Linked DNA regions of Drosophila melanogaster. The protein of the gene in region 2 interacts with the protein of the main gene of each other region in a pairwise test. Each region holds a gene or a part of one and is shown on either strand. Other genes may lie near its edges.

Region 1 (5,534 bases), on a different chromosome or scaffold from region 2:
AAGGTCACACTGTTCAATCGCACACTTTTTTTGCTACAAAGAGCGTGATTTATTTTTATAGAAGCAAAAAAAGCAATAATTACTTAATTTACTGCCATAAATATACTGAGAATAAGAACCCAGAATGTCGGATAGTGATTTGGATGCCTTACGCGCGCAGCGCATGTCCCAAATGCAGTCGCAATTCGTAAGTGAAATATTTGAGTGGCTCCAAACCGGCTAGATTCCTCTAGAGAATTCCAAAAATAGTCATAACTTGGAATGAAAGCAAATTAGACTATATAAAATATAATAAAAATGTTAAGAATACATTAGCAATGGTATGCTTTGTTAGTTCTTATAGACACCTTCCCTATGAGTCATCCTTCTCGACTGGGACACCTGTTTCTTTAAAGGGCAATCCTTCAATGACCTTAACTCCTTTTTTCCTATTTTTAGGGCGGCGGCAATGATGCGGAAAAGCAACAAGCCCAGCAGGAGCAGATGCGCGCCCAGGAGGAAATGAAGCACTCGATATTATCCCAAGTTCTGGACCAGCAGGCCAGGGCACGACGTATGTGGATCTAGACCTTGAATATCTCTAGCTAATAACTTATAAAATATCATTTAGTTAATACCCTCAAAGTCAGCAAGCCGGAGAAGGCGCAAATGTTCGAGAACATGGTCATCCGCATGGCCCAGATGGGTCAGGTGCGTGGAAAACTTGATGACGCCCAGTTCGTCAGCATCCTCGAAAGCGTCAATGCTCAGATGCCGCAGAGCAAGTCCTCCGTGAAATACGATCGGCGGCGGGCGGCCATCGATAGCGACGACGACGAGGATTACGGCTGCTGATTCGTCCGAAATTCCGCCCAACATCTAATTTAAGTTATGCCCGCTCCTCACATCCGCTAAATCATGTTTATTACTTTTACTAACTTAAAACGAGAAACAAAACTAGATGCCCAAATACGTATGGACTTCTTTGTGTCAGATGGCGAATCTTAAAGCGTATTGGAAGTTCGTGCCAAGCGGCAATGACATACACTGACATAGGACTAGATTTGGCTTACATTTATATGCGGTAGAAAAGTGGTCTAGAGGAGGGGTGGGGTCTTCTACGACTTCTTATAGGGATTTATCATTTCATATTCTTGTATGTTCCTAGCTTTTTATGATCTTGCTCGGAAATGCACTATGAGATCATCTTATTTACTTTCTCTAACATTCACTCGCAATCAAAAGCTTTCACTAGATTCATTTTTAAGTTATCCCTTTACTCCTTCTTCTCGTGATCTTCATCGGGATCTTCTTCTGTGACCAAGCAATCGCCGCAGAAAATAGAGTACATGATGAGCGATAAGAATCCCAATGGCAGGCCGAAGATGACAGTGGTCAGCACGGGATTTCCCAGCCACATATCCCTTAATGCTCTTCGCACTTCGAACAGTGCCCGATTCAAACGTACAAAGTACGTATCTCCTCCATAGGCAATGGCACTTTCGTTGCGGATGGATTCTAGGAAAAGGTGCAGTGCCTGTGGAGTCATTTGCATTGGATCATCTTCGGGTATGAAGTGGTGTTGGGTGCTCGAATTAATCGCTATCAAGTGAGGCGTGGGCAGTTGATCCAAGATAATGGAATGTGCTATTGATGGCTCGCCAATCTGAAATGGAAATATTGATTAGCTCCAAATCGATAAAACTATGATAGAATCACTTACCCATCCAAATTGGAATTTGTCATGATATCGCGCCCTATGCTTTCTTATCACGCCCTCCACCATGTCCCGAAACTCCAGCTCATGCGTGGCTATCTGATTGAGCTTATCCTCCTGTACCACAGCCAAAACCAAGTACTTGTTTGTCTTGAGCAGCTGGTGGATGTTGAACCGAGTGACCTTTGGGAAGAGTGTGAACCTCTCCACGTTCACCCATTGGAAAACGGTTTCGTTCACTTCATTGGGGTCCATTTCGTGCGCCAAATGCCCATGCGGATAGAAGTGGTGCTGCTCTTCTTTGTAGACAATCACCGCTGGCAGTTTCTCAAAGTCAAAGTGTTGGGCAGCGATATCCTCGCTGGTGGCATAGAAAAATCCATGCTCTTGGTAACCTTCAGCTGCAGCATAGTATGTATCCCACACCACGCCCTCCTGTTGGCCTACGAAAATGAAAAATATCGTATGGGATCCCTTTAGCATGTCCACACTCTCCGTTCGCGTGACCAGCTGAACTGGAGGCCCAGACATCCTTAAGGCATAATCCACCAGCTCATCGCGACCGCGGTCTCCGTTGTAGGTGAACTCCATGTTGCCCTTGATGAACATAATGGTGGGATAGCCACGAACCTGTAAGAATTTGGGGATGCTTATAAGGAACTTGGACCAAATATGGTATATTCTCACCTTGAACTCCTTCGCCGCCGCCGGATACTTGGTACAATCTAGGCGACCCACTCGAACGTTGGTGGCATGCAAAGCCTGAGCCACCAGAGCAAAAATGGGCTCCGTTTTCTTGCAGTAGCCGCACCACGGGGCATAGAACATGACCAACCATTGGCCCTCGTGTCGCACATCGATGAACCGGTCACTGAGCTCCAAAACCTTCGAGGATAGCCCCGTCGAACCCAGAGTCAGAAGCAGAGCTGTTGGTTTTGTAAATCATTTAGCATCAGCTTGGATTTTTTCTATTGTTCGTAATTTATTTACCACTTATGAGGCCGAAAATCCACATAGAATTTGGCGACATCCTTGCAGCAGGTTTAATTTGTACTTCCAAGTGTAATTTACGTGCCCCTTATTTGCTATATCATGCTTTCCGTTATTTTAATAGCTTCTTTACTTAATTTAATTAGTTGATTGGTTTAATTTTCAGTTCCAAATTATTTTCCTTCGGACCACAGCAACAACAAAAGAAAACATTTGCAAAAACCACCCCCTTTAGACTGACCAGATGTGGAAAATATCCAAAATACTTAAGGAGATACTCTTTAGTCCAATGCGTAAATTGAACAAGTTTATTTATTAATTTTGTAGTTGTTTGGATTATGTTTTTAAAAGATTATTGAACTCAAGATTTTCATTCTACTATAACCTTAAAACTAAAATGAATTCGAAATAAAAACTAATTAAATTTTTTTATATGCATCTCTAAGAATTTATCTTTAATAATGACATAGTTAATAATTACATTTATAAAAGAATTTTTAATTTTGAAAATAAGTTTTTGAGCGGCCATAGAGCGGCTGCCTAAGGGTTAATCTGGTATATTTTTAGTCAGATGGCAACTCTTCAGCTTTGTTTACCTCACAAAATAGACTATCTGGCAACTCTTAGGCACACACGTGCATCTCCAGAGGAATTTTGTTTCAGTTGTTGTTCCTTATTTCTTCTTAACTAAATAATTGTATTAACTAAATAAAATGACGAATAATGCGAAGAAGGAACCCCAGCAAAGGGGCAAGCATCAGGTGCATAATGTGCGCTTCTACACTATAAAGCCGCGTGAAATTGTCAGCTTGGCGTATAGTAAATCGAGCAAGTGCCTCGCTCTGAGTCGGTAAATTATTGAAAATTAAAAAAAACCTAATAATTACTGTGCAGTAAACTAATAAGTACACTCTTTGCAGTGCAACACCCGTCATTGAGCTATGGAACCTGGAGCACGCCCCGTATTTGGATCGTGTAATCCACCTGCCCACCGATTCTCATGTGGAATCTATAGCCTGGGCGGGAAACCGCTTATTTTCCGTGGATTTAAGTGGTAAACTGATCGAGTGGGATGTGATTAAGCTAAAACAACGATATGAGCACTCGCCCACTGGCAATGCTCTCTGGAGTATCGATGTGAATCCCGCGGAAACGGATATTGCCATTGGCTCAGAGGAAGGGCACATCAACATCCTGAGTATTGAGAATGACGAAATCACCTATAAATCCCTATTTAACAAGCAAAAAGGTCGCGTTCTCTGCATCAAGTTTGATAAGACTGGAACTAAACTGGTGACCGGCACTGAGGGATTTGTTCGCATTTGGAACGTCCTCAAGGGAACCACTCTGCACACGATGACCCTATCCGAAAAGAACGTAATAGTTTGGTCCCTGCAGGTGCTATCCGATAATACGATTATTGCCGGTGATTCAGCGGGATTTGTTACCGTTTGGGATGCGGATAACGCGACACAGATAGATTCCACACGAGTTCTGGATAAAAACGTATTTGCCCTGGCTGTGAATAATAAGGAGGATCGATTAGTTTGCAGTGGAATGCAGCCGCCGCTCATCCGGATTTTCAGCAAAACCAAGATAAAGCGGGAAGAGTCCACCAGCGAGCGTTGGATTAAATTCCTACAGCGCGATGCCCACAAACACTATGTGAAATCCCTGTTGGTTATCGACGATCAAATTTATTCGGGAGGCAGGGATGGCATATTGACCATTACGTCCAGTGAACGAATGCAGGCACATTTGTCGCAGCATGCTCCCTTTCTGAAAGGTTCCGTAGCTTCCATGGCAATCAGTAAAAAGCTTTTGCTTTTGCGATATCCCAACAGCGTGCACCTGTGGCGCTTGGGTTCTGTGGCCCCGCAAGGCGAGGACAAGAAGAAACCCTGGGCACTGCCCGTCGGCCACACGGAGGAACAACTTCTGGAGCTGCCACCCCAGAAACTTCTCCAACTAAATGTCAAAGAGCACAACTTTATACAGTCTGCTGCCATTTCATCAGATGCAAACTGGATTTGCTACTCTACCTTAAAGGAACTCCGAATCAGTCGTTTGAAAAGTGATCCCCTGCAGGTGGAGCGTCTGGTAGACGATCTTCCCGAGGAACTTCAACCAGCCAGTCATATAATTTTCACAAAGCAGGGAGATCTAGTGCTGCTCAACCCGCAGAACAATCATCTAAGTTGGTTTACTTTAGAGGAAGATCTGGTTACATTCAAATATACCATCGATTTGAGTGAGAAGTGTAAGAATACGATTAGCCACGTGGTTATCTCTTCGCATGGCGAATACATTGTGGCTGCGAGCTCAGACCACATAATATCAGTTTGGAAACTACATGGAAAACAATACAAGCACCTGCTGAACCTACCAAGACACCGAGCAGGTACCACCGCCCTATCCATGCACGAGGATTACCCACGCGTGGTGGTCGCCTACGCCAATGGCCAGCTGGTGGAGTACGATTTGGTCAATCGGATATTCACCTGTGAAACTAATGAGTACCTGATACCCGAGACCAGGCGCCATTGCATCAATGGAATCAGCCTGGATCCACAAAATCGTAATATATTTATTGTTCACACCGAGGGCAATTTGTATGTGTTGGAGAGGGATCAGCATCTGGATCCCAAAGAGCTTGTGAGCAACAGCAAGTCTAAAAAGTTATCAAATGGAAACCGCTCTTCAGTTGATGGCGGCTCAAAAGGCCTGAGCCTCAAGACGACTCTGTCACGACAGGTAAGATTGGTAGGTCTGTTTACGCACAAGACTTTCATTTTGTAACACTTTGGCTCACAAGGTAATCTTAATTCATCCATGAAATAAGAATGAG
Region 2 (6,151 bases):
AAGTCGCGTTGACAAAACCCAAGAAAAAAGTCGAAACACAAACAAGCAAACGCAATTGTATTTATCATTTCAGTTTTGTTTTTTATTGCATACAACTGAAGCCTCCCCCAATCAAAAGCAAGTCAATGCGAATAAATATACTTATAGATTAAGGCGTTTAACAAAATAAATAACTTCTAGATCCATTTGCAGATGTTTTTATTCGATCTTTTAAGCCCAAACATTTCAAACAATTCGGGATCACATGATATAATTCGACTTTCGCACATAAATATGTGTACAGTGATCACTCGTAAAAAGAACTCATTGATGTTATTCTATACATACATATATTATTATATTTTATGCTTATTCCATACTTTATTCTTCATACAATACAATCTGCCTACCATATAATTTATGGTAACATTGCTTTAATTATGTGTGAAGTGCATCAGAATTCGGATACAAAAATGAATTATTTCTTTAAAATCTGTATATTAATTAATAAAGAACAGAAATTTCCACAAATATGTAAATTGAATTTTCAAATTGGTTTGGTTCCCTCGTTTTGTTTAATTTCTGAAACTGACTCATGGAAGTGCAGTCTTCTGCTTCTTTCAGCTGTTGATTAGTATAAGTTCATGCTTTTGAGGTGACCTTGAAAAGTTTACTAACATCGCGTTTTCGTCGCTCGCTTTTTCCAAGCGATTATTCGGCTCTATGCATTTTTGTTGTTGCTTGTTTTTTTTGCCAACCCCCGAAACGCCACCCCCGATTATTCCTAGTATTTTCGCTGACGCAAATGAGAAAAGAGAAAGCTCTACATGTACAGTGCAGACTCCCATTGCGTTAAAGTTCATCAACGAAATCTAAATGCTCGGGATTTACACCTTTTTCTGAAAATTTATTTAGTAAAATAAATTTCACTTAATATCTGGTCTCTTTCTCTCTCTATCTCTTTATGTGAAAATCGATCGTTTAACTTATTGAGAGTTGACAGTACTTTTTTCGAGTATTTCTAGGTTATGGTCAAGGCGAAATCTAAGCAAATTTGAAGGCTACGCTCAGGTACGAAGAGCGATGAAGAGAAACGCCTCTTCTTTGTAGAATTCTACTGATAATTCGATTTTTGTTTTTGTGTTTTTTTTTTTTGCTTCTCCTTGCAAAGCTTTTTCGTTTGTTTACGCAAAAAGGAGAGAAAGAGATGGTGCAAACAAATTTCGCGGAGAGATAAAGGTGTGTTGAACTTTAGCAAAAGTACATTTCATAAATTATATTTATTTTGGTTTTTAGCTAGCTGTGAATTTGCTTTTGCGTTTTCCTCAGATGCAAGTGTGTGTGCAAATTATGTATGACCTTTTTTGTATTGTTTTTGCGACGCTTTCAAAACAAACAACTGCGCTCTCTCTCTCTCCCTCTCTCGCTCTCTTGTGTCCATTCTCAGAGTCTTTGCACGTGTATGCAGCGGTTTCTCTTCCTCTTTTCAACACGTAAGCTTGAGCAAAATACCACAATCACATAAATATATACATAGGTGCGAGTGACAGTGCCACATTAAGGGTTAAAAACTGAAAAAATTTGATTTGACCACTGACGTCAACGAAATAACATTTTCTTGCCAAACGTGATTATAAAAACATAAAACAGCAATTACTTTCCGCCGCTTCTTACCTTTTTGAGTATTAAATACATTTATAAAAGTTTCGCAGACGCCTTTAACTTGATTTTCCTTGGTAATATGCACTATTATTTTTACCGCACGAAGGACAGGAAAAAATCCTTTCACTTAACGTAAAACTTGGCGCTCGTTATGATAGTTTTACACTTTAAAAAAAAATTAGAGAAAATAGTTGACAAATTGCTGGAAGATTTGTTTTTTTTTTCTTTTTGTTTGTTGTTGTTCCTTCGGCGGTTATATTTGCAATTCGCATTGCAACGGACACAGTGTTGGTATTTCTCGTGCTGGTATTTAAATACTAGCGACAATGAGAGGTAAAATACCACATGTAATGGTCACACTTTCGCCCGCCGAATTCAAGGCAATGCAATTTTGAATTTGTTATTGATTCATTCTCAAACGAATACCAACATATATTTGAATATATTTCGATATATAAACGCTTCAATTCACTACGCTTCAATCGAAGTGTGTGGTATTTATAAAGTGCGATATTCATCACAGCTATCGCTCATCCCCAAAACACCGGTATGCAAGAATTCAGGTCACACTTGATTTTTCCGATATTCCAAAAGGTTTACCAATCTACGGCAAATCGCCGCAGAGCAAGTGCATCCGTGCTGACCAATCGACTCGGCAAGGCTTTGTGCTTAAACTGCGCCAGGATGTCGAAGTCGCCGGATGGCGGGATTTCCGAAATAGAAACGGAGGAGGAGCCGGAAAATCTGGCGAACTCCCTAGATGATTCGTGGCGTGGAGTTTCCATGGAGGCTATACATCGTAATCGGCAGCCTTTCGAATTGGAGAATTTGCCACCAGTGACTGCCGGCAATCTCCACCGGGTTATGTACCAGCTGCCAATTCGTGAAACACCGCCACGCCCCTACAAATCACCGGGAAAGTGGGACTCCGAGCATGTGCGTCTGCCCTGTGCGCCCGAGTCGAAATATCCGAGGGAGAATCCGGATGGCAGCACCACCATCGATTTTCGCTGGGAAATGATCGAACGAGCCCTTCTGCAGCCCATAAAGACGTGTGAGGAACTGCAGGCGGCGATAATATCATATAATACCACCTATAGGGATCAGTGGCACTTTCGTGCCCTTCATCAACTTCTCGACGAGGAACTGGACGAGAGCGAAACACGGGTTTTCTTCGAGGATCTATTGCCGCGCATTATCCGATTGGCATTGCGGCTACCGGACTTGATTCAATCGCCAGTTCCGCTGCTCAAGCACCACAAGAACGCCTCATTGAGCCTGAGCCAACAGCAGATCTCCTGCCTGTTGGCCAATGCCTTCCTGTGCACCTTTCCCCGGAGAAACACCCTCAAGAGGAAGTCCGAGTACAGCACTTTTCCAGACATCAACTTTAACAGGTGAGCGTCCACCAGATTCGTATATCTTCAGTCGAAGTATGTTAAATATATTCGATTCCATCAAAAGGCTTTACCAATCGACGGGACCGGCAGTTCTGGAGAAGCTTAAATGCATTATGCACTATTTTCGTCGCGTGTGTCCCACAGAGCGGGATGCCAGCAATGTGCCCACCGGTGTGGTAACCTTTGTTCGTCGGAGCGGATTGCCGGAACATCTGATCGACTGGAGCCAAAGTGCGGCGCCGTTGGGTGATGTGCCATTGCACGTGGATGCCGAGGGAACAATCGAGGATGAGGGCATTGGACTGCTGCAAGTAGACTTTGCCAACAAATATTTGGGTGGCGGTGTCTTGGGACATGGCTGCGTTCAGGAGGAGATACGCTTTGTTATCTGTCCGGAGCTATTGGTGGGTAAACTCTTTACGGAGTGTCTGCGACCATTCGAGGCCCTGGTGATGTTGGGCGCCGAAAGGTATAGTAACTATACGGGATATGCCGGAAGCTTCGAGTGGTCCGGCAACTTTGAGGATTCAACGCCAAGAGATAGCTCAGGTCGTCGACAAACGGCCATTGTGGCAATCGATGCCCTACATTTTGCCCAGTCACATCATCAATATCGCGAGGATCTCATGGAAAGGGAGCTGAACAAGGCGTACATTGGATTTGTTCACTGGATGGTGACGCCGCCACCGGGTGTGGCAACTGGTAACTGGGGTTGCGGCGCATTCGGCGGTGACTCCTATCTGAAAGCCCTGCTGCAACTTATGGTCTGCGCCCAGTTGGGCAGACCTTTGGCCTACTATACCTTTGGAAATGTGGAGTTTAGGGATGATTTTCATGAAATGTGGCTGTTGTTTCGAAATGACGGGACTACGGTGCAGCAGCTTTGGAGTATTTTAAGGTCGTACAGTAGGCTTATTAAGGAGAAGAGCTCCAAGGAGCCGCGTGAGAATAAGGCATCCAAAAAGAAGCTATATGATTTTATTAAAGAGGAACTTAAGAAGGTCAGAGATGTGCCCGGAGAGGGAGCATCCGCCGAAGCTGGAAGCTCTAGAGTAGCTGGATTAGGCGAAGGAAAATCAGAAACATCAGCGAAATCCTCGCCAGAACTCAACAAGCAACCCGCCCGACCGCAAATCACCATAACGCAACAAAGTACCGATCTATTGCCCGCGCAATTATCGCAAGATAACTCAAATTCTTCGGAAGATCAGGCCCTTCTTATGCTGTCGGACGATGAGGAGGCCAATGCCATGATGGAGGCCGCTAGTCTGGAGGCTAAAAGCAGCGTAGAAATAAGCAACAGCAGCACAACGTCCAAAACGAGCAGTACAGCCACGAAATCAATGGGTTCAGGTGGCCGCCAGTTGAGCCTGCTCGAGATGCTGGACACCCATTATGAAAAGGGTTCGGCCTCGAAGAGGCCACGAAAATCACCCAACTGCAGCAAGGCTGAGGGTTCAGCAAAGAGTCGTAAGGAGATCGATGTGACCGACAAGGACGAAAAGGACGATATTGTTGACTAGGTGATATTGCACTACAGGATTGTTACTGCCCCCAAAATTGAAGAGGTATAAAATGTATTGTAGATAACTTTAAGGACATATTTAGGGCATTTTAAAGTAGGATCATTGTAAGTCGAATAAAGTGAAATTTTTTTTTTTTTTTTAATTATACTATTCTAATCTGCAAAGACAATTTTACTGTTAAATTTGTATAACATTGATTGATTAATATAATTTGTTATATCATGCAAATCTAGCTTTTATTATGCGAAATTTGTAGTTAAAGCCAGTAAAGTTTCTTTTTATTTAACCGAAACCTTTTGTTTATTTTATTTGACCACAACAAGAACATCAACAACAACAACCACGAAAAAAAAAGCGAATATATATTTGTTTGTTCGTATATATATATATATATCTAAGCAGATCCAACGTCGATGGCCAATCAGTAGTGATTGCGTCGCTTGTTGGATGGACAATACTCGGCGTATTCCTCCCAGGTGCAGCCCGCCTTGGTGCAGCATTCGTTCGATATCGATGGAGTGTTTCCATCCGATCGACGACTTCGCAGAAACATGTTGGCATAGTTCACGTGCAGCCAGGTGGAGCCATCAGCTGGAAAGACAGCAGGTGGTATCATATCGATATCAATGGATCTATAGCATAGATGTACATGTGTACATCGCTTGAAATTCCAATCGTCTTTGGTTGGAATGGATTTCGATTCAACAACTTACGTTCCGTGGTTGTCTTCTTGATCCAAGCCTCATCATTGCCCGTCCTCTTTTTGTTGCGCCGTGTCAGTCGGTAAATGTCCTTCTCGCAGGCCCAATATAGCTGGCGGACCAGCTTGTCACGGCAGCGGGAGTGCGTCTCCTGGTGCCACACGTTCTCCCAGTCCGATTGGGAACTAAAAGATGGAGACATAGACATCGGAACGGTTCGATGTCAATGGAGTTGACAACTCACCGCTCGCGGAAAAGCATCTCGAGACCCTCCTCGGTGTGCTGCAGTGCCTCCGGCGTGGGTATCAGCGGCAGGACGAACAGGAGTACAGCTCCGCAAAGTGTCCAGCTGCCCGAGTTTTGTATTATCATTCTGGTCATATTGGTTAGTTCTTGTGCTCGAATTGTGCTCGAAGGCTATCGAAGGAATGCTGATCCTGATGCGGCTCACACGGCGGATGCGTGCCGACTGAGCGCTCTGGTCGGTGTGTTGTCAGGTTTTGAAATATAACCGAACCCGGTCTCCACCTGAGTGGCGGCCAACTGTCGGGCGTCGGCGGTATAATTAAATCGTTTGGTCAGCGCTCTATTTGAAGTAATGAGGCCCAGGACCGGGTCAGGACCTCTTTCACAACCGGCCAATCCAATCCAATCCAATACAATCCAATCTAATGAAGAGCTACGGCAGCAATTGCGTATGCGGCCCGTTGTCCGCTTATTGCCTTGTTTATCTGCGGTTCCATTGGGCAGCAAATTGGAGGCACTTCTCTACATACATGTGGTTGGTTGGTTTCACCTGCCGATTTTCCACCTGCAACCTGTTGCTTGGCTAACAAAACAACATAAAATCGGGCAAGTTACGCTGTTTGCCTCGTAAAACGAG

What was found.
Region 1: the proteins of Parg (region 2) and Tmx3 interact in a two-hybrid assay, tested with the Drosophila melanogaster proteins (one large-scale study listed by BioGRID).

What each region holds. Positions count from the first base shown.
Region 1 is NT_037436.4:16,226,493-16,232,026, reverse strand, and holds Tmx3 (Thioredoxin-related transmembrane protein 3), read right to left. Parts: upstream 2,928-5,534; 5' UTR 2,727-2,927; coding exon 2,687-2,726; intron 2,623-2,686; coding exon 2,384-2,622; intron 2,327-2,383; coding exon 1,703-2,326; intron 1,646-1,702; coding exon 1,256-1,645; 3' UTR 888-1,255; downstream 1-887. Other genes in the region: PDCD-5 (programmed cell death 5), read left to right, coding at 125-187, 439-553, 611-834; l(3)72Dn (lethal (3) 72Dn), read left to right, coding at 3,400-3,536, 3,607-5,449.
Region 2 is NC_004354.4:3,667,542-3,673,692, reverse strand, and holds Parg (Poly(ADP-ribose) glycohydrolase), read left to right. Parts: upstream 1-2,190; 5' UTR 2,191-2,325; coding exon 2,326-3,038; intron 3,039-3,105; coding exon 3,106-4,564; 3' UTR 4,565-4,856; downstream 4,857-6,151. Other genes in the region: Ilp7 (Insulin-like peptide 7), read right to left, coding at 4,989-5,158, 5,281-5,453, 5,513-5,649.